Linked DNA regions of Diceros bicornis minor. The main gene of each other region encodes a partner of the protein of the gene in region 2 in a complex. Links are inferred from orthologs where the notes say so. Each region holds a gene or a part of one and is shown on either strand. Other genes may lie near its edges.

Region 1 (7,262 bases), on a different chromosome or scaffold from region 2:
GAACTTGTGGATTCCTAATAGTACGAGAATGAGTCCATGAATCTCAGTTTGAGGACTCTGAGCCAAACCCATAATATACATTTTAAATTAAACAGAAAGACTAGACCCTGAGGACTATGAGGCCATGGCCTATTTTACATACCAGTGTAGTACCTTGCTCCTAGCAAAGTGCTTGGCACATAGCAGGCACTCAATAAATATCTGTTGCATCAGAAAATAAAAAAATATAGACTTTGGATTTGGAAGATCAGGGTTCAAGTCTTAGACTTCCCACTAATTACCTGAGCAACTGTGGCCAAGTCAATTACCCTTATCCTCAGTTTCTTCATGGAAATGTTATTACATGCTTAACAGGGTTGCTGGGAAGATTATTTGAAAAAAGTAAGACACAGCAAAGCCTTGCCTTACCGATAAAAGTCACTCTCTGGGTCACTGTGCCGGATCTGGAATGGTGCATTGGGATTCTTACAGTCTAAAGGAAGGAGGTCATCAGGAAGAGGAGGTGACCCAGGGCAGGAGGGAAGAGGTTCACTCTCTTCAGTCTTTACACCTTCTGTCTGTTGCTGATTCTGGGCCTGAGCTGTGGCAATGAGGTTGCGCAGACGTCGGTTGTGCTGGATAAGCTGAATGGTATGGATGGTGAGGCTGCATGGCTCTGAGGGGATGTCCAACATAGTGGGGGGCTTGGGCTTGTTGGCTGAGGGTTGGTGCAGAGGAGGGTCATGGACTTCCACCAGACGGAACTCCCGTGGGAGCAAATCAAAGGAACTTCTGTTGGCCTGGCTTGATGAGATTGGTATCTCTCCCCAGTATCTCAACATTTTGGAATAAGAAAGGAAGAGCTTCCAAGTTAAATGTAGATGATATCCTAAACTAGTGTCTTTAAATCTCTGGCAACTGTAGGTTATAAACTTCTGTAGTGAAAAATATGAAGTCTAGCCCGTTATTTACATAAAAAGTAGGTTGTTCAGGACCACTCAGAAAAATGTCAGTGTCACCAACACTGTAGGACCGAAGATGTTCTCCCTGAAGAAATTAAGAGAAATATAACTGCTAGAAGCTAGTCATCACAATCACACACAATGACAATTCATATTAGACTGAACCACAAGGTGGAATTTGGGTCACTAGTAGACTAACAGCTGCAATAGTATCTGGGGCTGTAGTGTCCATGTTTTCCATCTCACCCCCCTAACTCATTACTAGAACTACCATCATGCCCAATCCTGAACAATTTTCAAGACAAGATACTTAAATGAGACCTGGAATATTTCTCAAGAGTATTTTGACATATCTGTCCCAGATCAGTGGGAGAAAGGGGAGTAGAGTTAAAGATAGACAGAGGTGGTTCTTATACTATGTGTATCAGGCATGGGAACCTTTTAACTGATCTGGTGAAAAAAGCTATTAACCACCAGTCTAAATGGTCCTATGCGTGCAACTTCTGACATATATAGGGAAGAATCTGGGAGATTTCTGCTGCCTCTTAACTGGTATTCCTTATTTTAGTCTCGCCTTATATCTAATCTATCCTCCATAGTGCTGCTAGACTTAATATTTTTAACTCAGATCTAATGGCTTCCCATTGTCTACAGGAAAAAGTCAGTCAAAATTCTTTGGCTCTCCATTCAACAAAATTTACAAACTGGCTTCAACTCACCTTTCCAGATTCATTGCCCATATGTCTCTTCAAATTCAACAAACATTTATCAAATGCCAGGTATTATGTGAGGAGACAAAGACTAAGGCCAAGATCTCCGACCTGGGGTGAGGGAGAAAAACATAAACAGAACGCTTCAATATGAAAGTGTGGGCTTAGTGCTGTTCTAGAGGTGCAGACCTGGTGCAGTGGAAGCACAAAGGAAGAGATTCCTGGAGACAATGACCACCCTAGTTCTAACGGTATCATACTACTCATTTTAAGAATGCCATGCATTTCCACAGTTGACTCTTTAAGCTGTGATCTCTGTCAGCAATGCCCTGCCACCCACCACATCCCTGGCAGACTTGTCTTCATTCTTAAGTATAGCTTAAGTCACCACCTTCCATCACCTACCCAGTACATCCTCCTTCATTATATTCTCACAGCACTTTGCATATCTCTGTCACAGCATTTATCCCTAGACTTAACTAGTATTCATCGCAATCAATTTTATTCTCTCATCTATCCCTCACGACCACAATCTTAGTACAGTGTCTGCAACACAGTAATTATCTGGCATTTAATTAGTGCCCACTATGTGCCAGCCTTTGCCTTTACTGTTTAATTCAATTCTCCCAACTACCCTATAAGTAGACAAAATTATTATCCCATTTTTCAGATGTGGAAGGTGAGGCCCACTGTCTTGCCTAATGTCAGAAACAGCTGAGAGGGAAAATCAAGACAGTCAGTCTCCAGAGTCTGCAGTCTTAACAACTACACTACGTTGCCTCATTAACTGGTTTCGGAAAGCATATAAAAATGAACGAATAAATGAATGAACAAAATGACAGAAAGAAAAAAAAAACCGCCCTCTTCCCTAACTTCACCCAAAGGAGCACGAAGGGGAGGCACCAAGCCCAAGCAATGCCCAAGTCCCTCGGGGGGCTCCTCGGTCACGGTCAGCGGGCGCAGGCGCCAATCACAGGATCCTGGGGTCGCCTGATGCTCGGAGCGGCCGGCAGACGGCAGGTCTGACCCTGGACCGAGGCACGGAGGCGCCACTATTCACTGCCGCGGCGCAGGAGCCGGGCTGGGCGGCCGTACGGCCCCAGAGGCCTGAGGCGAGGGTCGCGAAAGGCCCGGAAGGCTGGTTTGTTGATTAGCGGTCCAAGCCTGCCGGAAGCGTTTCTTCTCAATCAAGCTAAGCCACAGGAAGTTATTACAATCCGGTTGCAACCTCTAAAGATGTCCCCATTCTGACAGCACCCCGACCGCCTTTTTCTGTTTTTCTCTTGTTATGATCTTCCCGTGATACTCACCTCTTCACAGCGTTCTGGGTCGTGAAGGAGCAACTCCACCATCGCTGGCCAGAGAAGCCTCTGGGAGCTGGGGAGAGGGAGGCGCGGAGAGGAACGTAGAGACCGAAGGGTGACGTTTCCTAGGAACAGATTTCGAGACTGCACCCGATTGAGGATGGCTGATAGTCCCACTCAGTGCGAGCCGCTGGCCTCGCAAGAACTCAGTAGAGACTTCAAGAAGCCAGCTCTGCCGGTGCCCCCGGCGGTGCGGGACAAGGCCGCGGACCGCAATCCTTCAAACCCTGACGAGGTGAAGAAGGAAAGGCCCACGGCGCTGCTGGACCCCGATTCCGAGAAGCCTGATGTCCCGCCGGACAGCGGGGAGGCTCGGAGTCCCCCAGAGGAGCAGCCGCGGCCCCTCGCAGCGGCTCCTTCCCCTGGTGGCCCGGGCCGGGCCCCGCCTTACCGAGAGCCGCCGTGGGGCGGCCCTGCCACAGCCCCCTACAGCCTAGAGACCCTGAAGGGCGGCACCATCCTTGGCACCCGGAGCTTGAAAGGGACGAGCTGCTGCCTTTTCGGGAGGCTGCCTAGCTGCGACGTATGCCTGGAGCACCCCTCGGTGTCTCGCTATCACGCCGTGCTGCAGCACCGGGCGCCCGGCCCGGAGGGAGAATGCGACGGCCACGGGCCCGGCTTCTACCTCTACGATCTGGGAAGCACCCACGGCACTTTTCTTAACAAAACCCGCGTCCCACCCCGCACCTATTGTCGGATCCACGTCGGGCATGTTCTTCGCTTTGGAGGCAGCACCCGGCTCTTTCTTCTTCAGGTAAGTAGAAAAACCTAGAATTGAAATTTCTGGAGCCCACCGGGCTGGGTTCCTGAGCTCTTTAAGCTTTCAATGAGGAAGAAGATTCTCCCAGTTAGTGATTACAAAAGTGGAATCTGGCCTTTCATGTCCAGATCTCTGTATACATTGCCATATTTCTGAAAGTGACTTCAACAATCCTGAACTCTAAAAGAATTCTTTCGCTTGTTTCATCAGGGACCAGAGGAAGACCGAGAGGCAGAATCCGAGTTGACAGTCACCCAATTGAAGGAACTGCGCAAGCAGCAGCAAATGATGTTGGAGAAGAAGATGCTAGGAGAAGACTCAGATGAAGAGGAGGAAATGGATACCACTGAAAGGAAGAAAAATACTAGTGGTCAAGATGATGAAGTGGGCTGCACCTGGGGAATGGGTAAGAAATTACAATTGCTGCCAGAGGTTAATATTTTAAATTCATTGCTAGCAGTATCTTTTTTTTTTTTTTAATCATACGGCTGTTCATGACTCTATGAGATAGGTAGGACAAATACTGTTTGCACATGAAGTTATCAAAACTCAGAGAGATTCCTTACTTTTCTGATGTCAAGAAATTGAACTATGAGCACTATGGATTTCTTCTAATGTGTTTTACAGTACAGTCTTGTTCAAAACTGTTCTTCAGCATACAATTTATTTTTTTTACCATTTAAAAAAATATATAAGTACTGACCTTGATTATCACTGGAGGGGATGGAACTACATTCAATCAAATAAAATGGAATGTTTTCAATATAGGATATTACCTCGAATCTTTTGTACTTTGTGTAAATACCCTGAAATGTGAAATATCTAATCAGGGAAAGCTGGTCCCTTAGCCAAACGAATAAATTGAATTTTCCACAACACCAGACATTTTGGAAGATGGGTGTTTAGGAGGTAGGAATATAAAAAGATAGAAGATAGCCTTAATATGTTGTTGGGAAGACAGGATAAATGAAATTACTTGTGGTAAGTGCCAGACAAAAGCTAGAAACCATAAATATGCTGGAGTAAAAGTTCAGAGAAGGGAGCCATCACTGAGGACTTAGACCTCGCTGTCCAATATGGTAGTCACTAGCCACATGTGCTTATTGGGCACTTACAGTATGGCTAGTCCAAACTGACATGTGCTGTAAATGTAAAATACACACTGGATTTCAAAGACTTAGTGTGAAAAAAGAATGTGAAATGTTCATAATATTTTTATATTGATTACTTGGTAATTTCACCTGTTTCTCTTACTTTTTTAATGTGGCTACTACAAAATATAAGATTACACATATGGCTTTCATTATATTTTTGTTGGGCAGCACTGACTTAGATCTTTAGGAAAGTTTATAAGTTTATAAACAGAAGGGTTTTGTGCTGGGACTTGAAGGATAAGAAGAGTATCCCTTGGGAAGTTGAGCATTGGGAGTGGTATTCAGGGCAGGGATTGATGATTTTAAGGGAATAATGAGTATACCAGTCTATTTGGTAGTTACGATATGCATTAGGAAATTCTATTGGAGACCAAGTATTAGACCCGGGTGTAAGAGAACAAGGATGCCAGGCTGAGGAGCTTAGATTTTTTCTGTACACAATGTGGTAGGTAATTTTGCTTTTAAAATGTAGTGATGGAAAAAAAAAAAATAAGGTGCCATGAAAACAAGTTTTAATTGTCATACAATTTAGAAAACCTGAAGATACTCTTACTGGTGGTTTTGTGGTTATCCTTTGCAGGTCCATCCCTTTCTTTTCATGACTGATAACTGTATCTTTATGCAGTCTGAAAGAATAATGGATGTCATTGAAATAGTCTCTTATGTCTGATTGTCTTTTCTTTCTTTCCCATCTCCTGTAGGAGAGGATGCTGTAGAGGATGAGGCTGAAGAGAACCCCATTGTCTTAGAGTTTCAGCAGGAAAGGGAGGCCTTTTATATAAAGGATCCAAAAAAGGCTCTCCAAGGGTTTTTTGACCGAGAAGGTATGTAAATAGATTCTGACGCTGCCAGCAAAATGTATCCACAGCAGTGTTGTTTTCTAGATCTTCAGGTACTTAGAAATGCTATATTTTATCTGCTCTCCTCCTTGTTTAGTTCTTATCCTTGTGGTCAGTTGCATCAGGTTTATTTTGAAAATAGTAAAAATCTTGTTAGTCTTTCTTCTCATTTTGGAAAAAAGGAAGTACTTTTTCCTGGCTTGTCTCATTCTTCTCGAAAAATCCTAGACTTGGGTGGTGGGGAGATTGGCCCAACTTCTTGTAATTTTTTGTTTCTAATTCACCTGATCTTTTGTAATTCTTACCTTGAATTTTCATTTTATATGATTAAAGATTGTTTCCACAGACAATTGTTTCAGTAGAGATGCTTTGAGAGAATATGTGTGTGTGTGTGTGTGTGTGTGTGTGTATGAATATATATATGAACTGGTTGTGTTCTGCACTTAACACATGTACTTCTAAAAACCAGGCAACTGTGATGAATTAACAGCTTAAGTCTACAACTTATAAAAAGTGTGAAAGCTACTGTACAGTGGTCAAAGCTATGAATGAAGAGTTGATTGTTTTGATCTGAGTTTGCTCTTCTTTGCCTCAAGCTCATCCTAATTTTATTATTGGATGATAATCCCTAGGAATGAGAAGTAGTCAATGTGATATGGGAACTTGATATTCTTATTTAACCTTTGCTCTGTTTTCTCCTTGTATCAACTAGTAATTGTCACATGCTGTTAAAATTGTTTTGTCTTTCTTCCTCCCACAGGAGAAGAATTAGAATATGAATTTGATGAACAGGGACATAGCACTTGGCTCTGTAGAGTAAGGTATGTTCTTTTCTCATAAATGTCCATTACAGCTGTAATTTACGATTATAGACAATAACCCAGAGAGTAACTTTAGTCTTAATTTTAGGCTATTCCTGAATTTGGGCCTTGATAGTTTAGTAACACATATTAATGGGGGGTGGGGTGGGATGAGTAAGAGAGAAGGAAAAGATTTGACATCCAACCTTGGCAAGATAAAACAAAATGAACTGAGAGATTAAAAAGCCATCTCAAAAAACATGACTATTATCACAGCGTATTAGTTTTTTTCATGAAAATTGGAGCTTAGTGCTGTGCTATAATTCCCTTCAAACTGATGCAGATTACCTGTGGATGATTCAACTGGAAAACAACTGGTGGCTGAGGCCATTCACTCAGGAAAGAAAAAAGAAGCTATGATCCAATGCTCACTGGAAGCTTGTCGAATCCTCGATACTTTGGGATTGCTGAGGCAGGAGGCAGGTGAGCATGTGGGAACATGTTTTTTCTTTAAAAAAAAAAAAAAGGAAAATTTAATACAAAAGGTAACAAAACCTTTTTTTAGAGGGAAATGTAAATTGTATAAAATTCTATGAAGTGACAAGAAAAAATTCCCTATCTCACTCTCTGAAGGTAGCCATTGTTTATTTATATTCTCCCAGACAGTTTCTGTGCATATAGATGTGTGTTCAGA
Region 2 (6,862 bases):
TTTATTTACAAAACATAAACCAGATAACACAAAATAATCCAAAATATGGAATATCTGGAGTAGGGGATGACACAATCCAGGTTAGTGAGGGGAAAAAATCCCTGATCTTAAATTAGAAAAGGAGGGAAATGACATCTCAGATAACTAAATTCTCCGTCCTCTCCTTAACCTTCCAGTGGGTTCAATAATGCCACAGGAGATCCTTCACAAACGGCCCTGCTCTGAGAAGTCATACCTTGTGTCAAGCAATCTTTGCTCCAGGGTAGCTTCTCCTCTGGGTTTTGTCCTATCAACCCACTGACCCTATTTTCTGAACTCCAAATTGGGAACTACTGTTTCTCTGGCAGCAAGACAGAATACATGAGCTGTAACTGTCCTGACAACTCCAGGACAGAGGCTCATGGCACCCTCTAGACAACAGCCATCTCTGGGTGCTGCACTCATCACCCCCACCCTGACCTTTTCCTTCCCTACCTGACTTCCACCTCTGGCTTGTTGTGTCGTTCTACGACCTGGGAGGAGAAATTCTCCAGGCAGAGGGCAGCCTGCAGCGTGGCCCGCACGGCACTCAGGTAGGGGCGGAGAGTGGCAGTCTGTAGGAAAAACCCCAAGGGAGGATCAGCATCTGTCTCACCAAAGCCACTGGCCCCCTACTCCAGCTCACATAGGAGCCAGGCAGTATGGAGGGTGCCCAGCTCTCAGACAACACAGTGAACAGAACAGACTAGGCCTTCAAAGTGTCTTTCATTCAAAGTCTAGAGCAGTGATTCTCAAGGGGACGATTTTGTCTGCCAGCGGACATTTGGCAACATCGAGACATTTTTCACTGTCATGACTTAGGGGGAGAGGTGCTACTGGCATGGAGTAGAGTCCAGGCATACCACTAAACATCCCTCAACACACAACAAAGAATTATTCAGCTCCAAATAGTGCTGAAGTTGAGAAACTCTGGTCTAGAGGCATACAGGTGAATGACTATCCTCCATCAGTCTTTTGAGCCAACAAATGGCTAAGTCCACTGTATGCCAGGCACTGAGCTAGGTGCCGGAAATTCAAAGATGATTAAGACCATCTCTACCCTTAAACAGCTCAAGTAGGAGGAGACAGAGAAAATAACTATGATATAAAGAAGGATGACATGTGAAATAATTAGATTTACAAGTTATATCTGCAGAAGAAATTGGTTTTGATTTGAAGATAGAAATAGGATTAGGTGAATTTTACAATGAGAAGCAGCAGAATAAGGCCATTCCCAGTAGAGAGATCAGCTTCTAGCTACACTGGCCTATCTTCAGTTCCTTTAATCAGCCAAGTTCTTTCTCACCTGAGGGCTTTAAGCATGCTGAACCATCAATCTGCAGGCTTTTCTCCCCTCTCTTTGCCTAAGTCATCCTTCAGATCTTGGCTTATTCAGGAAAGGCCTCTTCCTTCCCCAAAGAGGCCTTTCTTAACTTCCCTCTTCATAGCATTTATTATAATTTATAATGACACACCCTTCATACATCTTTAGTAAAGTGATTTCTCCTTCACTCCTAGACTGTAAGCCTCATGGTCAACAGACCATGTCTATTTTATTCAAATCTACATATGCTGCACCTAGCTCAGTCACTACCTAACATATAATGTCTTACCCAGTTTCTGCAGAATGAACGAATGAACGAAAGAACTTAAGGTTAGAATTACATAAAAGGGCATTAAGAGTTCCAGAAGCAGTAATGAGTACACTGTTGCTGTATATGGGAAGCATTTTAGATTCAACAGATAAGGCTGCAATGGCAGCCTGAAGATTCATGGGGAATCTCAAATGCCAGGCTACTGAGTGTAGCTTTTCTTTTAAGATGGTAAGGAACTGCTGGGGCTTTTTGAAGAGGAAGTTACACGACTAGAGCTACATGGTGACTCTGTGGAGAATGGACTGGAGAGGGAAGTGAGACATAAGGCAGAGAGGGCTATTTAAGGAGCGCTGATGAGAGCCTGGACAGGGGCAGTGGAAAGGACAAACAGAGGGGATCACAGGGGTTGTCCAGCATAATGGAATCCAAAAACAACTCCCAACAAACTATGGTCCATCCATACAATGAAATACTACTCAGTGATAAAAAGGAATAACTACTGATACACACAACATGCATGGATTGCAAATGCACTATGGTAAGAAGCCACACTAAAAAGTCTACATACTGAAGAATTCCATTTATATGACAATCTGGAAAAAACAAAACTATAGGGGGAAAAAAATCAGTGGTTGCTTGAGGGGCAGGGAGGACTGATTACAAAGGGATTTGAAACTTTTTGAGGTGATGGAAATATTCTTGATCTTGATGGTAACAGTGGTTACATGACTGTATTTGTCAAAATTCACAGAAGGTAAACCTGAAAAGGGTGAATTTTAGGTGGGCAGCCCAGTGACCCCCGCCCTTTCACAAATAAAACAGACACAGTCTCATGTAATACCTCAACAAACTTGATCTTTAAAAAATCAAGAGGCATGGCCTCAATTGGAAAAAAAGAATATCCCAGGTTTCTAGCTGGGTTAAGAGGACACAAAGCCAGAATAAGGGACATAGCAGGAAGAGCGATTAGGAGAAAAGGTGACTTTTGACCTGGAGGTCTCATTTCAGGCTGTCTTCAAGATATCCAGGCAAACCTTGAAAGAGACCTAGGAAAGCAGACTCAGGAGTCACCAGAATACACAAGGTCATTAAAGTCGGAAAACTAGTTAGCTATCAATAGGGAGACTGTAAAGAAGACGAAGGTGTTGAGCCAAAGTCTCAACTCCCAGGAACACTGACATTTATCAAACAGCAGGATTTCCAGGAAGGGAGGGATCAGCAGTATCAGAGCTTACATGCTACAGTAAGGCTGACACGATTGAGTTCTGACCAGGAAGGGGACGGGGTGGAGGCGGCATAAAAGAAATCTTTCAGCAAGGTACAAGCAAGGCTGGGGGCAACAAGAAGAGTAGGATAATTAAATGCGGACGCTTCCCTTGGGAAACTGCGGGGTCAAGTGGGCAGGAGACGACAGGGCAGTGTATCTAGTGCAGTTCTACTCTGGGTGGAGAGGCGGCTCTACTACGTGCCTCAGCAGCCCTACTACGGGCTACGAGACCTACTACACGCCTTCGAGGCGCTACCACAAGCCTAAGGAGCTCCGCTTCCGGTTTCCTCCATGCCTCAGGAGTACTCCCGACTCGCTTCGAAAGCCAGACCACGAAGCCGCAAAGCCTGGTGCTTACGAGGGCGTCCCCCGCTCGCCCCTTCCTCACTTCGGCCCCCGCCCCACCCTCTTTCTCCCAGCCTCATCGTGGCCCCACATCCCCAAGCATCCCTCGGCCCCGGGCCTCTCCGCTGCAAAGCTGCATCTCCCCCAGACCCAGACTCCTGAGGAAGAACAGCGAGGGTCCCTGGCCCGGGGTCCGGCTCTCTCACCATCGCGGGCGCTGGCTGGGCCGGAAAGCGGAAGTGCGGAAGTGGCCAGCCCCGCGACGCCTGCCGTTTCGCGAGAAGCGCAGCCGCAGTCTCCTCCCGGACTTCCGGACGGTACCATCTGTGCTCCGAGCGGGGGAAAAAGAGCCTAGGAACACTTGGTCCCTCGGAAGTTTTCCCGCCAGGACTGTCTTGGTAGTTTTAGACTCCTGAAGTTTCACCTTGCTACTCAAGCTCCTCCCGTTATCCATGCAGCTCTCGCTTGTGACTTTGGCCTTCTCGTCGTCTTTGCCGCTTTCTTCCCCCATAGTCATGTAATGGTGCAGCCAGCCTCAGGTTGAGTACCATAATAGGACAAGGCGAAGTGGAGGAGCCCTTCGTTTCTTCCGGTTCTGTGCCCCCGTCCTTCCTGCGAGCCCCGCCTACCTGCAGCTCCCGGGGTTCGGCGGGACTAACTACCGGGTGGAGAACCCGACTGCCGAGCCCCGCCCCCTGCCCCGGGCTGTTCCCTAGGGTACGATCGAGGCATACCGCCCCACCCCCCTACATTGCGCTCGTTCCCGGCCCGCCAACCCCCACCCCCGCAAGCCACAGTGAGCTCGCCTTCGAGTCTCCCCGCCCCCGCGTCAACTGCGAGGGGCCGGCACACAGCCAGTTCCGGGGCGGTTGCTCCGACAGACCGGAACTCCCCGCCGCCTCCCGCGGCCTGGGGGACCGTAGTAGGCTGCAGTGAGGAGGTAGAGGGGGAGGGGGCCGCGTTAGGGGGTCCCTAGAGGACGAGGACATTGAAGGCGAGACATTGGGGCCACCCACGGGGTGGTGCCAGCCAGTAAGCAGTCCCACTTTTTCTGTACCAGGCACTGAACTGGGCTCTTGACGGGCATCATCTCTTAATCCTCAGAACATCCCGGGGAGGTAGGTACTATTGTTATCCCCATTTTACAGATTCAGACTTATGGGGAAACAGACTTCAGGCTTCTTTTGTCCTCATTTTACAAATGGGAAAACCGAGACTCAGGAAGGTTAAATAACATGGTCAGGACTACATAAATAACGAATAGTAAAGCCTGGGCTGCAATCCGGATATGTCTGGCTTACCAGCCCACATTCTTAACCGCTGTCAGGGGCAAAGGTGGGGAGGGGTGAGACAAGGAGAGGCTGAGAGGCACAGAGAACATTATCGTTATAAGAATGAGATGCTTCCAACTCAGGGACTTAGCACAACCCAGGAGTGGAACAGAAGAGAAGAACATCAGAAAGACAGGGCATAGTATATGGTGGTGGTTAGGGGCATGGACTCAAAACTACTTGGATTCAAATTGCATCTTGGTAAGGTTGGGCATGTACCCACCCTTACAGAGTCTCCGTTGCCTTGTCTGTAAAATGGAGATCACCATGGTCCCTGCTTATGGGGTTGGATGAGGAATTTAATGAGAAGCTGGTAAAATGTCTGCACCTAGCTTGGCACACAGTAGATGCTCTGTGAGTAGCTGTGCCATCAACCTCGGCAATAGGGTACTGAAGCCTGGCTTTCTCCTTGAGGCTGTCCCTGGATAGAAGGAGCCCTTGGGCTTTTCTCGTGCCACTTTATCTCCCATCAATGGTCTTTTCCTCTCCAGCTCCACAGGGTCCCATATCCTGGGCCATGAGTGAGCTGAAGGACTGCCCCTTGCAGTTCCATGACTTCAAGTCTGTGGACCACCTGAAGGTGTGTCCCCGCTACACGGCAGTGCTGGCCCGCTCTGAGGATGATGGCATCGGCATCGAGGAGCTGGATACTCTGCAGCTGGAGCTTGAGACCCTGCTTTCCTCTGCCAGTCGGCGCCTGCGGGTGCTCGAGGCCGAAACCCAGGTGATACCCCCAGAGGGGGCGTCACCAGGGATGAACTGTGACAAGTTATGGGTTGGGTCCTTGAGTTAACCCCATCTGCTGAAGCCTGGGTTACAGAAGCTTAGCAGAGGAGAGAGAGACCGAAAATAGGCTTGTGTAACATGTAAAATATGCAAGAATATGCGTGATCCTCGTAAATTACAGGATTTCTAATTCAGTAGGCATTTATTGACCCCCACCCCCCATTATGTTCTGGGTCTTGTGCTAGTCTAGAGAGAGGTAATTAGGACAATTCTGGCCTTCAGGGAGTTTGCCAACTAAAGGGAAGGGGAGTCAGACAAGTACCAGGTGATGTGCTGTTACGTTTACGAGTCCTGGGGGACCTGGAACGGAGAGACCTGGATTTGAATCCTGTCCTGAGCACCTGCTAGTGTTGCTGTTTCCTAGCTTTGTGACTTTGAGAAAGTTACCTCCTGGCGCTGAGTATCAGTTCTCTATCTGCAAAGTGGGCTGAATAATAGGACCTACCTCAGAGCTTTTTGTGAGGATTAAAAGAGAGGGTTTTTTTGCAAAGCTGAGCCCAATGTCTGACACTAAGTAAGCATTTCAAATGTTATTTATTGGTATTACTATGATTATTTCTGTTCATAGCATAAACATCTTCTGAGCTCTGTGTGTCAGGTGCTCTGCCAGACCCTGGGGAACAGAGATGGTTCAGATGAACTTCTTGGTCTCTAGTAGCTTATAATCTAGTTGAAGAGACAAGGTTCTCTGTTCATTCCAGTGAGACCAAACAACACGATTGGGCCTACAATAGAGGTATGAAGTACCACAGACTCATAGAGGAAGAAGATGCCATTTCAACTGGGCCTCAGAAGATGAATAAAATTAACTTGTGGTCCTTGGGAATCCACTGAAGCTTTTTGAGCAGGTCTGTGGCACAGTCAGTTGTATTTTAGCATCTAGGAAGCTGGGTAACTGATGCAGAGAAGACTTCTCAGTTGTGACATTTGAAGTGAAGGTTTGCTGGGAGGCTTATTTGCCTTCACCAAAAAGTTATGACCAGCATATTTTCCCAGGGCTAACATGCACTGGGGTGTGATCATTCATTTGACTTTTCTGCTAAACACTATGTGACTGGCTTGGGTGCTACAGAGCTGAATCAGTATAGACAAACAATGAATGGAATGATGAGAAGTATATGAATAAAGTCCTGTGAGATGCACACAGAAAAGGAGCTGAGTTTTAAAGGATGAGTGGGAATTTGCTAAATAAAAAGGGGATAGGGGAAGGCTATGGGGCCTCTTGGAGTTGTAGATCCTGAGTTTTCACTGGAAGAAGGAGTTGTCCTGTGTCTTCCCTTCTCTCCCTCAGTGACAGTCTCTGTGAATTTCAGATCCTCACTGATTGGCAGGATAAGAAAGGTGACCGACGATTCTTGAAGCTGGGTCGAGACCATGAACTTGGAGCTCCCCCCAAACATGGGAAGCCCAAGAAGCAGAAACTGGAAGGGAAGGCAGGACATGGGCCAGGCCCTGGCCCCGGACGGCCCAAATCCAAAAACCTTCAGCCCAAGATCCAGGAATATGAATTCACTGATGAC
Region 3 (7,104 bases), on a different chromosome or scaffold from region 2:
TGGCAGAGGAGGGATTCAAATCCAGATACGTCTGACTGCACAACCTAAGCCTTAAGGGCTCAAACAGCCCTTAGTATCATCAACATTCAACTACCATTGGTTCAGGGTCCACCAAACTACCCTCCACACCACAGACATAGTGACCACAAATCCTGAAGTGACATAAATTGGGTATTTTTTCAATACAAATGATTCATCCAAAGTCTACATGAGATTCATTTTTAAAACTTTTATAAGAATCTCTATATTCAAATTTAGACATCATAAAAAAAGGCCTGTGACTTACTGCATGTCCCTACTTCCAGCTCCACAAAGTTGGTTGCTAAAACTATGGACTCTAATGGACCTACCCACTGAGAAGAGGGTGCTTCATGGTTGGGTCAGGTATTTATAAAACACTTTCAAGGCATTGCTTCAGATCCTGGACAGCACCTCTCAAACGGCCCTCTCCTACTGAACCCTACCCTCCAATAACCACACTGAACAACTCCAGTGCCCCCAACACAGACTTTCATGCTTCTGTTATGCTTGCCTGAAATGCCCTTTGATCCTTTTCCCTCCTCCCCCTGGGTCTCTCAAATTTACTCATTATTCAGGGTCCAAATTAAATGGCAGCAAAATTAACACTTTTACAGCAGTACTTGCCAACCTTTCTCACACCACAGCACACAGAGAACGTGATAATATTTGTATAGCACGCTGGGGTAAAAGGGCAAAGCTGCTCACAGGCAGAAAAACCTGGCAGGGGGATCTGGCTGCCCCAGGCTCCTCTCACCTGCCCTGATGCCAAGGTCAATCAAAACTTCCGAAGCACCATAAACAAAATTCCATTCTTGTACTTGTCACACATACACTGAGACACTGTTTCATTTACTTGTCTCTCCTGTCAGACCACGAGCTCTCGGAAGACAGGGATGCAATTTTATGCATTTTATATTCTCAGCAACTAACACAGGTCCTGGCCCCTACTAAGTCCTCAAAATAGATTGCTGAACTGAACTGAATCCTGGAAACCTCTTCAAACAGTCTTTCGTCTTAGAAACACTGCAACAATTCTGAATCTGGGCTATTCAATATCTTCTCCTCCCCAACCGCAGAGAAAAAATTAGCTGCTATCAACATACTCTAAGAAGGATTGTCTACTTCCCACCTATAGAGAAGAGGTACTTCCTCCTTATAAATTCACTCATTCAATGGGGCCGGCCCTGTGGCATAGCGGTTAAGTTCATCGCATTCCACTTCAGCGGCCCAGGTTCATGGGTTCCGAACCTGGCACGGACCTACACCACTCGCCAGCCACGCTGTGGCAGCAACCCACATATAAAGTAGAGAAAGATTGGCACAGATGTTAGCTCAGGGCTAAGATTCCTCAAGCAAAAAAATGAGGAAGATTGGAAACAGATGTTAGCTCAGGGCTACTCTTCCTCAGCAAAAAGAAATTCACTCATTGAATAACATTTATCACCTACCTACTCTGTGCCAGACATGAGGGATATACAGCAGTGAATGAGACAAACAGTCCTTGTCTCGCTCCAGTCTAGAAATGAATGCAGATATTAAACAAATAGTTCCAAACACTTATTTGTAGGTGAAATAAACACTCTAAAAGGGACACAGAGGACAGAACACCCATAGAGGACAGAATAGATAAATCTGAATAAATAATGACAGAGAACGCCAAAAAACTGAAAACACAAATTCTCAGGCAGAAAGGATCCACCAAGTGCCAAAGAGAATACCTACAATAAGACACCCAGCAATGAAACTTCAACGCCTCAAGGATAAATATGTGCTAATAGACGGATGGAGGAGGAGGAGACGGGAGAAGCGAAAGACACCAAGGATAACTCAGGTGTCTGGCCTAAGCAACTGGAAGCATGGGAAGACTGGGGAGGATGAAGGCGTGTGGAGGGTAAAACTCCAAATTTCAGTTTTGGACATGTTTGAGATGCTGATTAGACATTAAGAGGCGACGTCATGCAAGAGCTGAATATAAGAATCTGGAGTTCAAGGTCGGGCACTGGTTGAAGATGGAAATTTGCGAGTTAGCACAATACGTGGTATTAATATTTAAAGCCTTGAAATGGTAACTCCTAGGAATTGAACACAGAGAAGAGATCCAGGATGAGGTCTTGGGGCAGCACAATCATTAAAGATAAGGAGGAGGAGCAAGAATCAGCAGAGGAGAGGCCAGAGAGAGCTGAAGCTCAAGACGAGAATGTTCCGCAAGCCCAATGAAGAACATGTTTCAAGAAGGGGCAGTGATCAGCCGCATCAGACACTGCTACGGGACTGAGAACTAAACACTGATTTTGGCGACCTAAAGATCATTGGTGACTTTGACAAAGAGCTATTTCAGCGGCATGCGGGGGCCAAGGCCTGACTGGAGTGGGTTCAGAAGAGACTCGGAGGAGAAACGGTGCTAGTAAGTACAGACTGAAGCTTTGGCTGCAAACCGGCGCAAAGAGATGAGGAGGCACCTGGAGGGAGAATGAGGTTGTTTAGTTAAAATGGGCACATCCTGAGCATATAATAAAACACGCCAGAGCTCGGGGCCCGTCCTCAGCTCTCATCTTCTCGCACCAGCACTGGGTTCCCCGCCTCCGCCGGCCCCCGCGCCCAGCCCCGCCAGCGGCTGCTTCCTACCCTCGCAGGGCCGGCAGCGCACGCGCAGACCCCAACGACGGGCGCGGGCCCTCCCTCCCCGAGCCCCGCCTCTCCTGGCCCAAGGCGCGTGCGCATCGCCACTCCACAGCCGCCTCAGCGCGGCCCGAGGGGGTGGGGAAGCAGGGGGGCGCCTGGGCCCTCTGCTCCCGCCATGCTGGGGGGCTCCCAGACCGCGACCCATCCCTGCCTACCGAGCCACGGTGGAACAAGAACGTCGCGCTGGAAACTGCGACGACGGAAGCAGGCGCGTTCCTCGAATCCTTTTCAAAGTCTGCGGATAATAACGCGCTTGCGTTCGAAGATTCGCGGCACGTTGAGAACCGCATACGTTTTTTTCCTTTCTTTGAGTCGCGTCGTGGAGGACCACTCTGCGCATGCGCCGTCCTTCTTCTGTGACGTACCGCGCTGCCCCTTGGGAAATGTAGTCTTTCCTTTGACACGCTGTTGTCGACCATTTCAGCTGAACCTTGTTTTAACAAACCAGGGTTCTTGTGCGTTTTCAGTATCCTCTCCTATTCCCCGAAGCCGCTATAAAATAGTAATAATTTTTTAAAAACCTAAAAAACGAGTAGATTGTTGATTGAGGGGGGAGCAGTGGGTATATGAGAGCTCTACTTTCTGCCTCGGTTTTGCTGTGAACCTGAAACTGCTCCAAAAAATAAAGTCTATTTTTAAAATTTTTAAATAAATAAAAACTAGCAGATCTGTAGACCCAGAAATCGTGCTTTTAGGGAATCTTCCCAGGAACATATTAAGGATGTGAGCAAATACTTAGCTACAATGGTTTACATCCCAGCATCTTATAATTTCTTACATACCATACCCCCTACCAAAGTTTATGGTTATGTATTTATTTGTTTGATTATTGATACACTTGCCAGCTCAGTGAGGTCAGGATCATCTGTTTCCTTCACCTGTGTATTCCCAGTTTGTAACTCAGTGTCTGGCACACAATAAGCCCTTAATATTTTTCTATTCATTAGAAGAATCTCAGACTTCAACACAAACTGTTTCAGCCCAGAACTTAACACATCATTTACTTCCATCAAGCTTGCTTCTTTCTGTGGTGTCTATCTCAATGGCATGACCACCTACCCAGTCTCAGCTTTATCTCTTGCATTTTATGAGGCGTATAGCAGGGATTTCACAAATTTTACATTTGTAAGTCTCAGGAGCTATTTCTCCTGAATGTCAAATATCAACCTTAGTTGCCCCACCAGAGAAATTTGGGGCTCACAATTGTTTTTTTGAATTTTCTTTAATTTCTGATCTTTCTACAATAAACATGTATTACTTGATTAATTTTTTAAAAGTGTTTTAGAGGGTTGTCTATATGTAAGGGATAGCTCTGTCTTCCCCTTCACATCCACATTTCTCAAAAGAATCACCTGTCCTCAGATTTCATTTTCTCACCTCCCTCTCTGCAACAAGGGCCCGAGCCAGCACCTGGGAGTTATCCTCGACAGCACCTTTTCCCTCCCCACTCTGTATTCAATCCATCACTAAGTGTCTGCAGTATAAACACAATAACAGCTCATGTGTTGAGCACTTACCATGTATCAGGCACTGTTGAAATGCTTTACATGTATTCATTCATATGACAGAGTCCATCCACTTTTCATCTCCACCGCACCTACCCTAGTCCAAGGTACTTCCGTTCTTGCCTAAATAACTAAGAAGCTTTTTATTTTTTTCAATCCCAGATGCGGAGGTTGAATCACTCATTTCTCACTTTATGGCACACTGTCATCATTGGGCTCTGCATGGCCCCTCTCTTGTTTTGTATATTGATGGCCTTTTATCTCTTTTCTTCACTCCTCCCGTCTTCCCCAGTGGTGTGTGTGTCTGTAAAACATTTGTGTTGTTTAGTGTGCCTTTATCTTTAATTCAGCTAAATGGTATTGTACTATAAACCTTGTTCTCTTTCTTACGTTTTCCACTCAGCACCATGCTTTGAAGACCTGTCCTTGTTGTGTGTACCCCTAGCCTGTTACTTAGAATAACTGTGCAATATTTGATAGCGGGCACCCATATTTTAGTTATTTGGACCCACGGTGAAGGGCCTCTAAATTGCCTCCAACTGCTGGCTACCACAAACAATGCTACAGTGAACGAACTCATACATGTCCCCTTGTGGCCTGTGTGAAGATTTTTTGGGATGTCTATCCACTAGTGGCAGTGAGCAATAGCTCCTTAAGCTGCCTCCCCTGATCCATTCTGGCCAGAATGAATGCAAGTGTGTTCGTGTCCTGGCACCCCCGGCCTCCTGCCCCACGGCCTCCTTTCCCAACCCACTCTACCTCCCTCTCCACTTCAGCTTCCCCAGGCTTCTTCAGGTCTCTCAGACCTGCCGTGTCCCTTCTCCCACAGGCCTCTGCAAAGGCTGCCTGGAGCACATTTCCCTCCCCTCTTTCCCTTCATATCTCTTACTCATCTTCAGATCTCCCTGACTGGGTCACATCCCTCTGATATAATCTCTCAAACCAAGTGTAGACCTTACATAATTGTGATGGTAAAACAAATGTCACAATTTTATATTTGTTTGTAACCTAATTTGGCCTATCTCTTACCCCTTAGATTATAGACTCCATGAAGCCTGGGCTCATATCTGTTTATGCTCATCACTGTATCTTTAGCACTTAGCCTTGTACCTGGCGCATAATATAAATATAAATATAATTTTTAAATATAAATATTTATTAGATGAAAGAGAAAATGAAGTTATCATCTCTGCTCAGGGAGAGTCATTGAGGGGGCAGCATCTTGGTGGGGGTGACTGTTACTGATTTTGGTCCTCAGCTCTGCAGGACCAGAAATTCCATTTTGTCAGCAACCTCTCAGGATAGATTCACACTGACACAACTCACAAGAGACAGAGGTATAAACCAGGAGCCCCATGAACCATATAGGGAGATTTAGAATGGTGGAACTGACTAGAACACTCCCTTTGCCTGGGCAGCACAGTCCCTTCCTGTGAGACAGCCACAGCATGGCAAAGAAATCTAGGCTTTCCTGGTCTATACTGAGTCTCATTGCTTCAGAACATCACATCTGAAATCCTTTCCAAAGAGCCTTGAAAAGTCACGGGGATCTTTACTGAAGGTCTCTTGAGGACACGAGGAGGGAGTTACATATCATGCCTTCCTAACAGTCCCTTTACAAGTCCCTCCCTTCACAGAATTCCACTGCTGAGGACAATGCTCACATCTCTCCCTCCTCGTTGCTTCCTTCCCCCACATAATTGGCCTTTTGCATGAGGGCTTCAGGCATCTTCCGTGTAAAGCCAGCTACCCCTCCCTCAGCTAGTCCCTGTTCGTGCCCAGCCATCACCCACTTGAGCAAAACAAAAAAGCTCTCTTTTGGATCTGACCGCCCATGGCAGGTAGGTGGGGAAAATCGTAACTATTCACATTTAATGGGTTTTGCCCCCAACACATACAAAAGAAGCCATATCATGGCCAGAAGGTGGCATGGTAGGCATGGAACCCAATGGAGGAAGGGGGTTAAATAAATTAACTCTTAAAAATTACTTTTGTTTCCTCTTTCTAAAATAAATATACACCGTGAGAAGCCAAACATTGCAGAGATCTAGAATCTATAATGCAGAAAGGAAAAGTTCTGCATAACCTCGGTCAAGGATATAATCACAGGGGCCGGCCCCTGTGGCGTAGCGGTTAAGCGCACGCGCTCGGTGTCGGTGGCCTGGTGTTCGCAGGTTCAGATCCCAGGCACGCACCGACACACAGCTTGTCAGGCCATGCTGTGGCGGCGTCCCATACAAAGTAGAGGAAGATGGGCACAGACGTCAGCCCAGGGCCGGTCTTCCTCAGCAAAAAGAGGAGGATTGGGATGGATGTTAGCTCAGGGCTGATCTTCCTCACACACACAAAAAAGGATATAACCACTGTGGAGAGTTTGGGACACATCCCATTAGCCCCTTTGCCTTTTTTTCAACAACTAAAATAATTTTTCAAACAGAAATGGGATTGTAGCCGCGCAGCAACCCCTTGGGCTCAGGCTCATGCTTGGGGTGGCGTGGGGGTCAGGGCAGTGGGCAGCAGAGTGCCAGGCCCCCGCAGAGTAGGGGGCTCCACAGCCACGACCTGCTCTCTCACCACTCCCTCAACCTGCAAGCTGCTGGTCTTCCCCAGCAAGAGATTATTTGAATAGATTTTCCTCTGTAAGGATGGAGTGATGTTTCACGTTGAACAAGCCACCAAGCTATGCTCAAAGATCACCCCGATCGGCCTGCAGGATCCTCTTGACATTCTTCAGAACCCCTTGAAGACCAGTACTCCACAGGGGGCCTCAGGGGCACGTCGCCATTCAGGAGTGGTCCATCAGTTAGCCTCTATGGAACCTGGATTGGCATTTACACAGTCAAGGATTGTTACCCTGTCCAGGAAGCCACCCAAAATTATAATGTGATGTTGTCCA
Region 4 (7,250 bases), on a different chromosome or scaffold from region 2:
AGAACACCTCAGTTCAGACCAGCCACATTCAGTGGCCGTAAATAGCCACACACTGATAGACAGTGCAGGTCAGTTTACTGCAACCACTTCCAAACTGAACTTGCTATCTCTAGTCTTGCTTCCCGCTGATCTTTTCCTCCAATTCAGCCTGAGACATATAAACACATAAGTCTGCTTATCCCCTTCCTCAGATTAAAATGGTCCAACCGCTTCCTATTACCTTAGGGATAGAGTCAAAAGTCTTGAACAGGATTGATTTTTGTCAGGATCCAACCCTGGCTAAGCTTTCTGGTCTCATCTCTTCTTCCTCCTCATGCTGATGCTCCTGCCATAAAGAGTTTTGTTCTATTTCTTAAATATGCTCTCACCTCTCTCACTTCTGGTCCTTTGCACATCCCCTCCCCTCCCCCTGCCACCTGTCCCAAGGTTTCCCTCTAGCACAGTAAACATTGTTACTGTCTGGGCTCCATCACTCCTTTTGCCAACACATGCACACACCCACACCCACACCCACACCACACCCACACACACCCCTCAGGAAACTTTCCTGTAGTCAATTGCTACTTTTGACATTCCTCTTTCCAGAGTGAGGTGGGAAAGAGACAAACACAAATAAAGGGCTTTTCCCCAAACTAACTCTTGTCTGTGGCCCCCTGACCCCTTTCACTTTGAGCTGCTATTACATACACACACACATACACACCCTTAGAGTTTTCACAGTTTTTACAGATCTATCAGTTTCAGTATCATCTCTAGGGTTGGGTATGACGGGGAAGCCAGCCACCAGTGTGAATTTAAACTTAAGAACTAAACAAGATGGCAAACTCACACTTGTGGCTGGCTCCCCTGTCACGCCCAACCCTAGAGATGGCATTGTAATTTATAGATCTGTATAAACTGTGAAAACCTGAGGATACGTGTGTTTGCATGTATGCGTGTGTGTTGGCAAACAGGGAGTGACGCAGCCCAGACAGTGACACCACAGTCTTTCCTCCTTTTGGCGCATCCTTTGCCTTTTCCCAGTGCTGGGCTTCAGCCTCTCCCTCTGGGTATACATATCAGCCAAGGTAGCTGATACCTCCAGGAAAATACAAATGCATGGAGAAAAGTAATGAGATGCAGAAGGAGGTGCAACTCCCATTAAAGCAAAAAATGGAACAACCTAGACTAGATGAAACAGATTAAATGCATCAGATGGAAAGATAATTTAAAAAAAATAACACATATCCTCGAAGAGAAAAGAGTTCATATTGGTTACATCAGGGTTTCTCAACCTTGGCACTATCAACATTTTGGGCCAGATAATTTGTTGTGGCAGGGGTGGGGCTGTCCTGTGCATTGTGGGAAGGTTAGCAGCAGCCCTGGCTTCTACTTGCTAGATGCCAGTAGGACCACCCCGAGTTGTGACAACCAAAAGTGTCTCCAGACGTTGCCACATGTCCTCAGGGGAGACAAAAATCACTCAACTGGGTTACATGAAGCAGCAACAATAAATCATGAAGAACCAATTCAAAATACTATGGAAAATATAATGGTTGAAGTAAATAACTCAATAAATGGGTTACGGAGCAATATGGATCTAGGCCAAGAATGAATTACTGCACTGAAAAATCAGGTAGAGGAACGCTTTTAGAAGGTATCAGGAAGAGGTGAACATAAAAATATGAAAGTTAACAGACCTAGAGGAGAGACGTATAAGTATCAATATCTACATCACAAGAATACAAGAAGGGGAAAAATAGAGGGGAGAAAATATTTGTAGATCTAATGCTTGCTAAATTTCCAGAATTAAAAAAAATATCCCAGGGGCCGGCCCTGTGGCTTAGCAGTTAAGTGCGCGCGCTCCGCTACTGTCGGCCCAGGTTCGGATCCCGGGTGCGCACCGATGCACCGCTTCTCCGGCCATGCTGAGGCTGCGTCCCACATACACCAACTAGAAGGATGTGCAACTATGACATACAACTATCTACTGGGGCTTTGCAGAAAAAAAAAAAAGGAGGAGGATTGGCAATAGATGTTAGCTCAGAGCCAGTCTTCCTCAGCAAAAAGAGGAGGATTAGCATGGATGTTAGCTCAGGGCTGATCTTCCTCACGAAAAAAAAAAAAAATATCCCAGACTGAATGGGTGCATAAAGGGCCAATCGGAATAGACAGGAAAAAGGTAATCCTAGATACAGTAGAGTGAAATGAAAGAACATCCAAGACAAAGAAAAACATCCAGAGAGAAAGAGCAGCTGTTCTATAAGGGAATAAGATATAGATTGACACTAGACTTCTTAAAGCATCCCAGGAAGAGAGTAGGCGGAGAATGGGAGTAGGGATCAGAAAGGAAGCGGAAAAGAGAAACAAAAATTAAAAATGGGACTTGCGGGCATTCAATAAACATCTCTACTGTGGTGTAACACAAAGCCACTCTACTTGGAGTAGGCAACCTTGGCTGAAGTCTCAACCCAGACTCTTTGGAACTTAAGAGACAAAGTCAGGTAAAAAGCAGACGCCACAGATGGAAAGGAGGTGGCTGTACTTCTGTGAGTCCTAGTGTCTGGGCTTCAGCTGTACAGGTGGATCCAGTTCCCAGGACTTGATTCACGAGACTAATGTATGCATCAGAAAGTTAATTTCCTAGTCATAATGGGGTAAAACATCTTTTCAGTGAATAGTAAACACACCTGGGCTTGTTATTCACGGCATCTCTCATCTATCTAAATGTTCAATTAATTATTAAGTTAATTAGTGAATACTGAATCAGAAAAAGTGAGTTGAATGATCCCGAAGAAAAGGATGAATTCTCCCCACCTCATAAGAGTGTACCATCAGATTCAGGTTTTCTCTCTCTGGGCCAGTGCTGAGTGAACGCTAACCAATTCTTGCTCATCTTCTCTCCCCCACCTCCAACCCCATGTTTCATATTCTTACTTTAGATAGCCAATTAAATTAGTTTTATATTTCAGTCTTGAGATCACCCTGAACATTATGATTGGACTTTCTTAACAAACATTTACAGAACACCTTTTAGGGGCTGGCCCAGTGGTGCAGCTGTTAAGTGCTTGCGCTCTGCTGCAGCGGCCTGGGTTCGCCAGCTCGGATCCCCGGTGGGCTCAGACGCACCGCTTGTCAAGCCATGCTGTAGCGGTGTCCCATGTAAAGTAGAGGAAGATGGGCACGGATGTTAGCAAAAAAAAAAAAAAAAAACACCTTTTAAGGTGAAGTAAAAATAACCAATAGCTATTTATTATCTTAGGTATCACACACGCTTTACCTCATTTAATCCTCACAACAACTCTATAAGGTAGGTACTATTATTATCATCCCTATTTTAGAAATTGAGCAACTGGAGTAGAGTGAGTTAAGTAACTTGTTCCCGGTCATTCAAGGAAGCCAGTAAGACCTCAAAACAACAACCTGAATAACTGTGCCAGATCTTCCCGATGTCCCAGGCTCACTTTTCTTGTCTGTACCTATCCCACAGAGTTGTGAGGTTCAAATGAGATAAAATACACAGCAGTGAAGCATGCATATGAATGAAGCTTATTGCAAAACGGTATATACTATTTAAAAATATACAACTAAAATGCAGTTTATTTGTAATAATGGATAATATAGCATGAATACAGAATGTACATATTTCACAATCACAAAATTCAGGTACTTAAAAACTTTTTATTGAAATATATATGCTATAACGTTCACAAAGCTTAAGCGTGCACTCGATTTTTACAAAAAGAAAAACTGCAAAAATAAAATAAAAATAAACACCATCTAGATCAAAATATAAAACATTACCATTATCTCAGAAGCCTCCCTCTGACAAATGATATATGCTTTTGAGTTAAAGACCTGGATTCGAATCCTGACACTTTGCACTTCCTTCTTGTGTGACTTTGGCAAGTTATTTAACCTCTTTGGATCTCCGCCGAACAATCTGTAAAGTGAGGATAACAGTACCTTATAAGATTGTTGAATTAAAGGTGGTCATATAATGTAGAACGTCTATCACAGTGCCTGAATATAGCTGGTCTGTAATAAATGGTAATTATTATCAGGCAAACGTAATAGGCGGCTGCCTACTCTCACTTCCTGCCTTTCTGTCACTCACTTTCGAAAGCTGCCCTGGCTCCCATTTCTCTTCTCCTTCTTTCTCGCCCCTCCTACTGCCGTAAATTGCCTTCCAGAACTGTCGTAAAATGCTCCTCCCCACCCTCCATGTGGCGAAAACGCAATCACGCTTGACGGCGCGAGGTGGCTCAGCCGCAAGATGGCGGCGCTGGCGGAGGAGCAGACGGAGGTGGCGGTCAAGTTAGAGTCTGAGGGACCGCCGACGCTGCTACCTCCGCAGGCGGGGGACGGCGCTGGTGAGGGTGGCGGCGGCACTACCAACAACGGCCCCAGCGGCTGCGGCGGGAACGTTGCGGCGTCGTCCTCGGCCGGCGGGGATGGCGGGACCCCCAAACCCTCGGTGGCTGTCTCCGCCGTTGCCCCGGCGGGGGCGGCCCCGGTGCCCGCCGCTGCTCCGGAGGCCGGCGCTCCCCACGACCGACAGACTCTGCTGGCCGTGCTGCAGTTCCTACGGCAGAGCAACCTTCGCGAGGCCGAAGAGGCGCTGCGCCGTGAGGCCCGGCTGCTGGAGGAGGCAGTGGCGGGCTCCGGAGCCCCGGGAGAGGCGGACGGCGCCAGCGCTGAGGCGGCTAGCGCGCTTCTCAGCCGGGTCACAGCCTCGGTCCCCGGCCCTGCGGCCCCCGACCCTCCGGGCACCGGCACTTCGGGGGCTGCCGCCGTCTCGGGCTCAGCCACAGGTCCCGCGGCTCCGGGGAAAGGTGAGCCGCGGGGTCTCGGGGAGGCAGGGCCGGCAAGAAGGGGAGCAAGCCGGGAAGGCAGGGGATGGCAGGCCTGCACCTCTGCGGGCTTGTTTTGAATTTCCTGGGCCCGCCTCTAGGGCCACATGCCCGCCCCTTTCTCTAGTGCGCCGGCTGCGCAAACCGTCTTCCGAGCTGTCAATTCCAGCGAGAGGCTGAGGAGAGCTGTTGAGCAGAGGGATGTATGGGGAAGGTGGGCGCGGAGAGGCGGGGACTTTCATGCTCTCGGTCCCTTTCCTCTTATTTGGGCTGTGGAGCTTTTAGCAGCTCTACCTTGACACTAGCAATATTTGTACAGTTCTGTACTAGCATACTTTAAGTACTATAAATACTTGAAGTTGTGTATCTTAATTCTTACAGTTCAAACTGTGACGTAGACGTTACCTCTATTCTAGAGATGAGAAAAAAGACTGAGAAAGGCCAAGAGACTTGCTCTGGATCACACAGCCAGGGAGTGATGGAACTTGGTGTAGCCAGTATTTCTCAAAATATAGGCTAAGGACCACCAGTGTTAAATCTTTTGGGGAATGCGGATTCCTGGGCATCACTTCAGACTAAGTGAATCAAACCCTGTGGAAGTGGAGACTAGGAATCTGCATTTTTAATAAATGTTTCCAGGGGGTATTGATGTATGACAAAGTTTGAGAACCGTTCGTTTAGGAATAGTGGTTGGGGGCCGGTCGGCTCCGTGGCGTAGTGGTTAGGTGCGCGAGCTCCGCTGCTGGCAGCCTGGGGTCGGATCCCGGGCGCGCACCGACACACCGCTTGTTAGGCCATGCTGTGGGGGCATCCCATATAACGTAGAGGAAGATGGGCATGGATGTTAGCCCAGGGCCAGTTTTCCTCAGCAAAAAAGAGGAGGATTGGCAGATGTTAGCTCAGGGCTGGTCTTCCTCAAAGGAATAGGGGTTGGGGAGACCTGGGTTCAGATTCTGTTTCTGTTGCTTTTTCTTGTGTGATGCTGATTAAGTTATTCTTCCTAAGCTTGAGCTTTTCCCCCCTCTATTAAATGGGTTATTGTGAGGCTTGGATATAATATATGTACAATGCCTAGCACTGATAAGTTTATGACTAGGTGTCCATCCCTGACATCTGAGGGCCCCCCCGCCCCTTTTCCCAGCAACTGTTGTCTCCAAGTCCATGTAGGAGTAAAACTCCTACACAATGTAAGGTCTTAAAGGTGATCCTGAGTTGATAATAAACATTTATTGAATTAAATTATCTAGTGCAGAGCCTCTGGGCAAATTAATCTGTATTTATGAAACCTAATTTTTGCAGCATTGCCAGAGTGAAGTATAATTAGATAGCACTGTAACTCATTAAAAGAAATGTGTGAAAATATGATTGAGAGGAATCTTTTCTGAATGCTAAATTTTGCACATGAACTATAAGATGGATGAATTATGTTGTTGGTTATTTTACTGTAATCTCTCATATCTTCAGAAACTTGACCTATTTTTTTAGATCATAACTCAGAAACCAGTAAGGAGGAAAAGAAGCCATAAAAGTGATTAACAGATTTTATAATATTTGTGCAGTAAAGAGCATAACATAACAGTTGCAACTTAAAAATTGCCAACAATCAAACTGATTTGATTGACAGATGTATCATTGTTTGGGATTGCTATATTACAAATAAATACTCATGTTTTCTGCCTTGAAATGGTGGTTATGGAAATTGTTTTAAGCCTATAAAATTGAATTATCTTTTGGAAATATAAATAAGGCAAGGTCCTTCCTGCTCTTAAAATGCTTACGTTTTATGAAGAGTAATAGATGTACACATGTGAAGGTAACATATGATGGGATGTATTACAGGAAAGATACAAAGTACTTACGTAGCTCAGAGAGCTGGGACTATTACTCCAGGGCATGAGTTGGTGGTGGTGGGTGCCGTTTGCACTGAGCCTTGAGAGAAGATTAATATAGTTTTTTGATTTGCACATACCTTGTTTTATAAAATTTGTCTTTAATATAAGGTAGCTCCAGGAAAAATAGTGGATCTTTTTGTTATTGATTTGAAAATTTTATTTTACGATATGGACAAGCTGAAGGAGTTTTGGATGGGTGACGGAAACAAAGTGAAAATCCCATTTAAAGATCACGTGGTTGTGTTGGGGAAGAGAGCTTGAGAGGAGTGGGAGAAACATTTGAGAAACAATTCATCTCTGGACCTTAGTAAAATAGCCCCAGTTACTTGGTACATAACATGTCATTTTCTTGAAAGTTGTTTTCATTTTTTAAACAGTTGGAAGTGTAGCTGTGGAAGACCAGCCGGATGTCAGTGCCGTGCTGTCAGCCTACAACCAACAAGGAGACCCCACAATGTATGAAGAATACTATAGTGGACTGAAACACTTCATTGAATGTTCCTTGGACTGCCATCGGGCAGAGTTA

Evidence for each region.
Region 1: TADA3 (region 2) and SUPT7L share a complex: the UniProt entries of both Homo sapiens proteins name them as parts of the STAGA transcription coactivator-HAT complex. The link is inferred for Diceros bicornis minor from reciprocal best matches to the Homo sapiens genes TADA3 and SUPT7L.
Region 3: TADA3 (region 2) and SGF29 share a complex: the UniProt entries of both Homo sapiens proteins name them as parts of the ADA2A-containing complex. The link is inferred for Diceros bicornis minor from reciprocal best matches to the Homo sapiens genes TADA3 and SGF29.
Region 4: TADA3 (region 2) and TAF5 share a complex: the UniProt entries of both Homo sapiens proteins name them as parts of the TFTC-HAT complex. The link is inferred for Diceros bicornis minor from reciprocal best matches to the Homo sapiens genes TADA3 and TAF5.

What each region holds. Positions count from the first base shown.
Region 1 is NC_080751.1:55,263,265-55,270,526, reverse strand, and holds the start of SUPT7L (STAGA complex 65 subunit gamma), read right to left. Parts: upstream 3,021-7,262; 5' UTR 2,962-3,020; intron 2,813-2,961; exon of another isoform or gene 2,530-2,812; intron 2,520-2,529; exon of another isoform or gene 1,763-2,519; 5' UTR 1,661-1,762; intron 1,027-1,660; 5' UTR 822-1,026; coding exon 409-821; intron 1-408. Other genes in the region: SLC4A1AP (kanadaptin), read left to right, coding at 3,116-3,769, 3,986-4,181, 5,631-5,753, 6,529-6,589, 6,912-7,051.
Region 2 is NC_080741.1:82,755,655-82,762,516, reverse strand, and holds the start of TADA3 (transcriptional adapter 3), read left to right. Parts: upstream 1-3,855; 5' UTR 3,856-3,942; intron 3,943-4,019; exon of another isoform or gene 4,020-4,165; intron 4,166-4,285; 5' UTR 4,286-4,343; intron 4,344-5,047; 5' UTR 5,048-5,073; coding exon 5,074-5,280; intron 5,281-6,655; coding exon 6,656-6,862. Other genes in the region: ARPC4 (actin-related protein 2/3 complex subunit 4), read right to left, coding at 475-593, 3,432-3,434. UniProt on the Homo sapiens protein: Functions as a component of the PCAF complex. The PCAF complex is capable of efficiently acetylating histones in a nucleosomal context. The PCAF complex could be considered as the human version of the yeast SAGA complex.
Region 3 is NC_080765.1:22,000,237-22,007,340, forward strand, and holds the start of SGF29 (SAGA-associated factor 29), read right to left. Parts: upstream 3,008-7,104; 5' UTR 2,994-3,007; coding exon 2,859-2,993; intron 1-2,858. UniProt on the Homo sapiens protein: Chromatin reader component of some histone acetyltransferase (HAT) SAGA-type complexes like the TFTC-HAT, ATAC or STAGA complexes.
Region 4 is NC_080745.1:68,226,138-68,233,387, forward strand, and holds the start of TAF5 (transcription initiation factor TFIID subunit 5), read left to right. Parts: upstream 1-4,247; 5' UTR 4,248-4,255; coding exon 4,256-4,814; intron 4,815-7,101; coding exon 7,102-7,250. UniProt on the Homo sapiens protein: The TFIID basal transcription factor complex plays a major role in the initiation of RNA polymerase II (Pol II)-dependent transcription.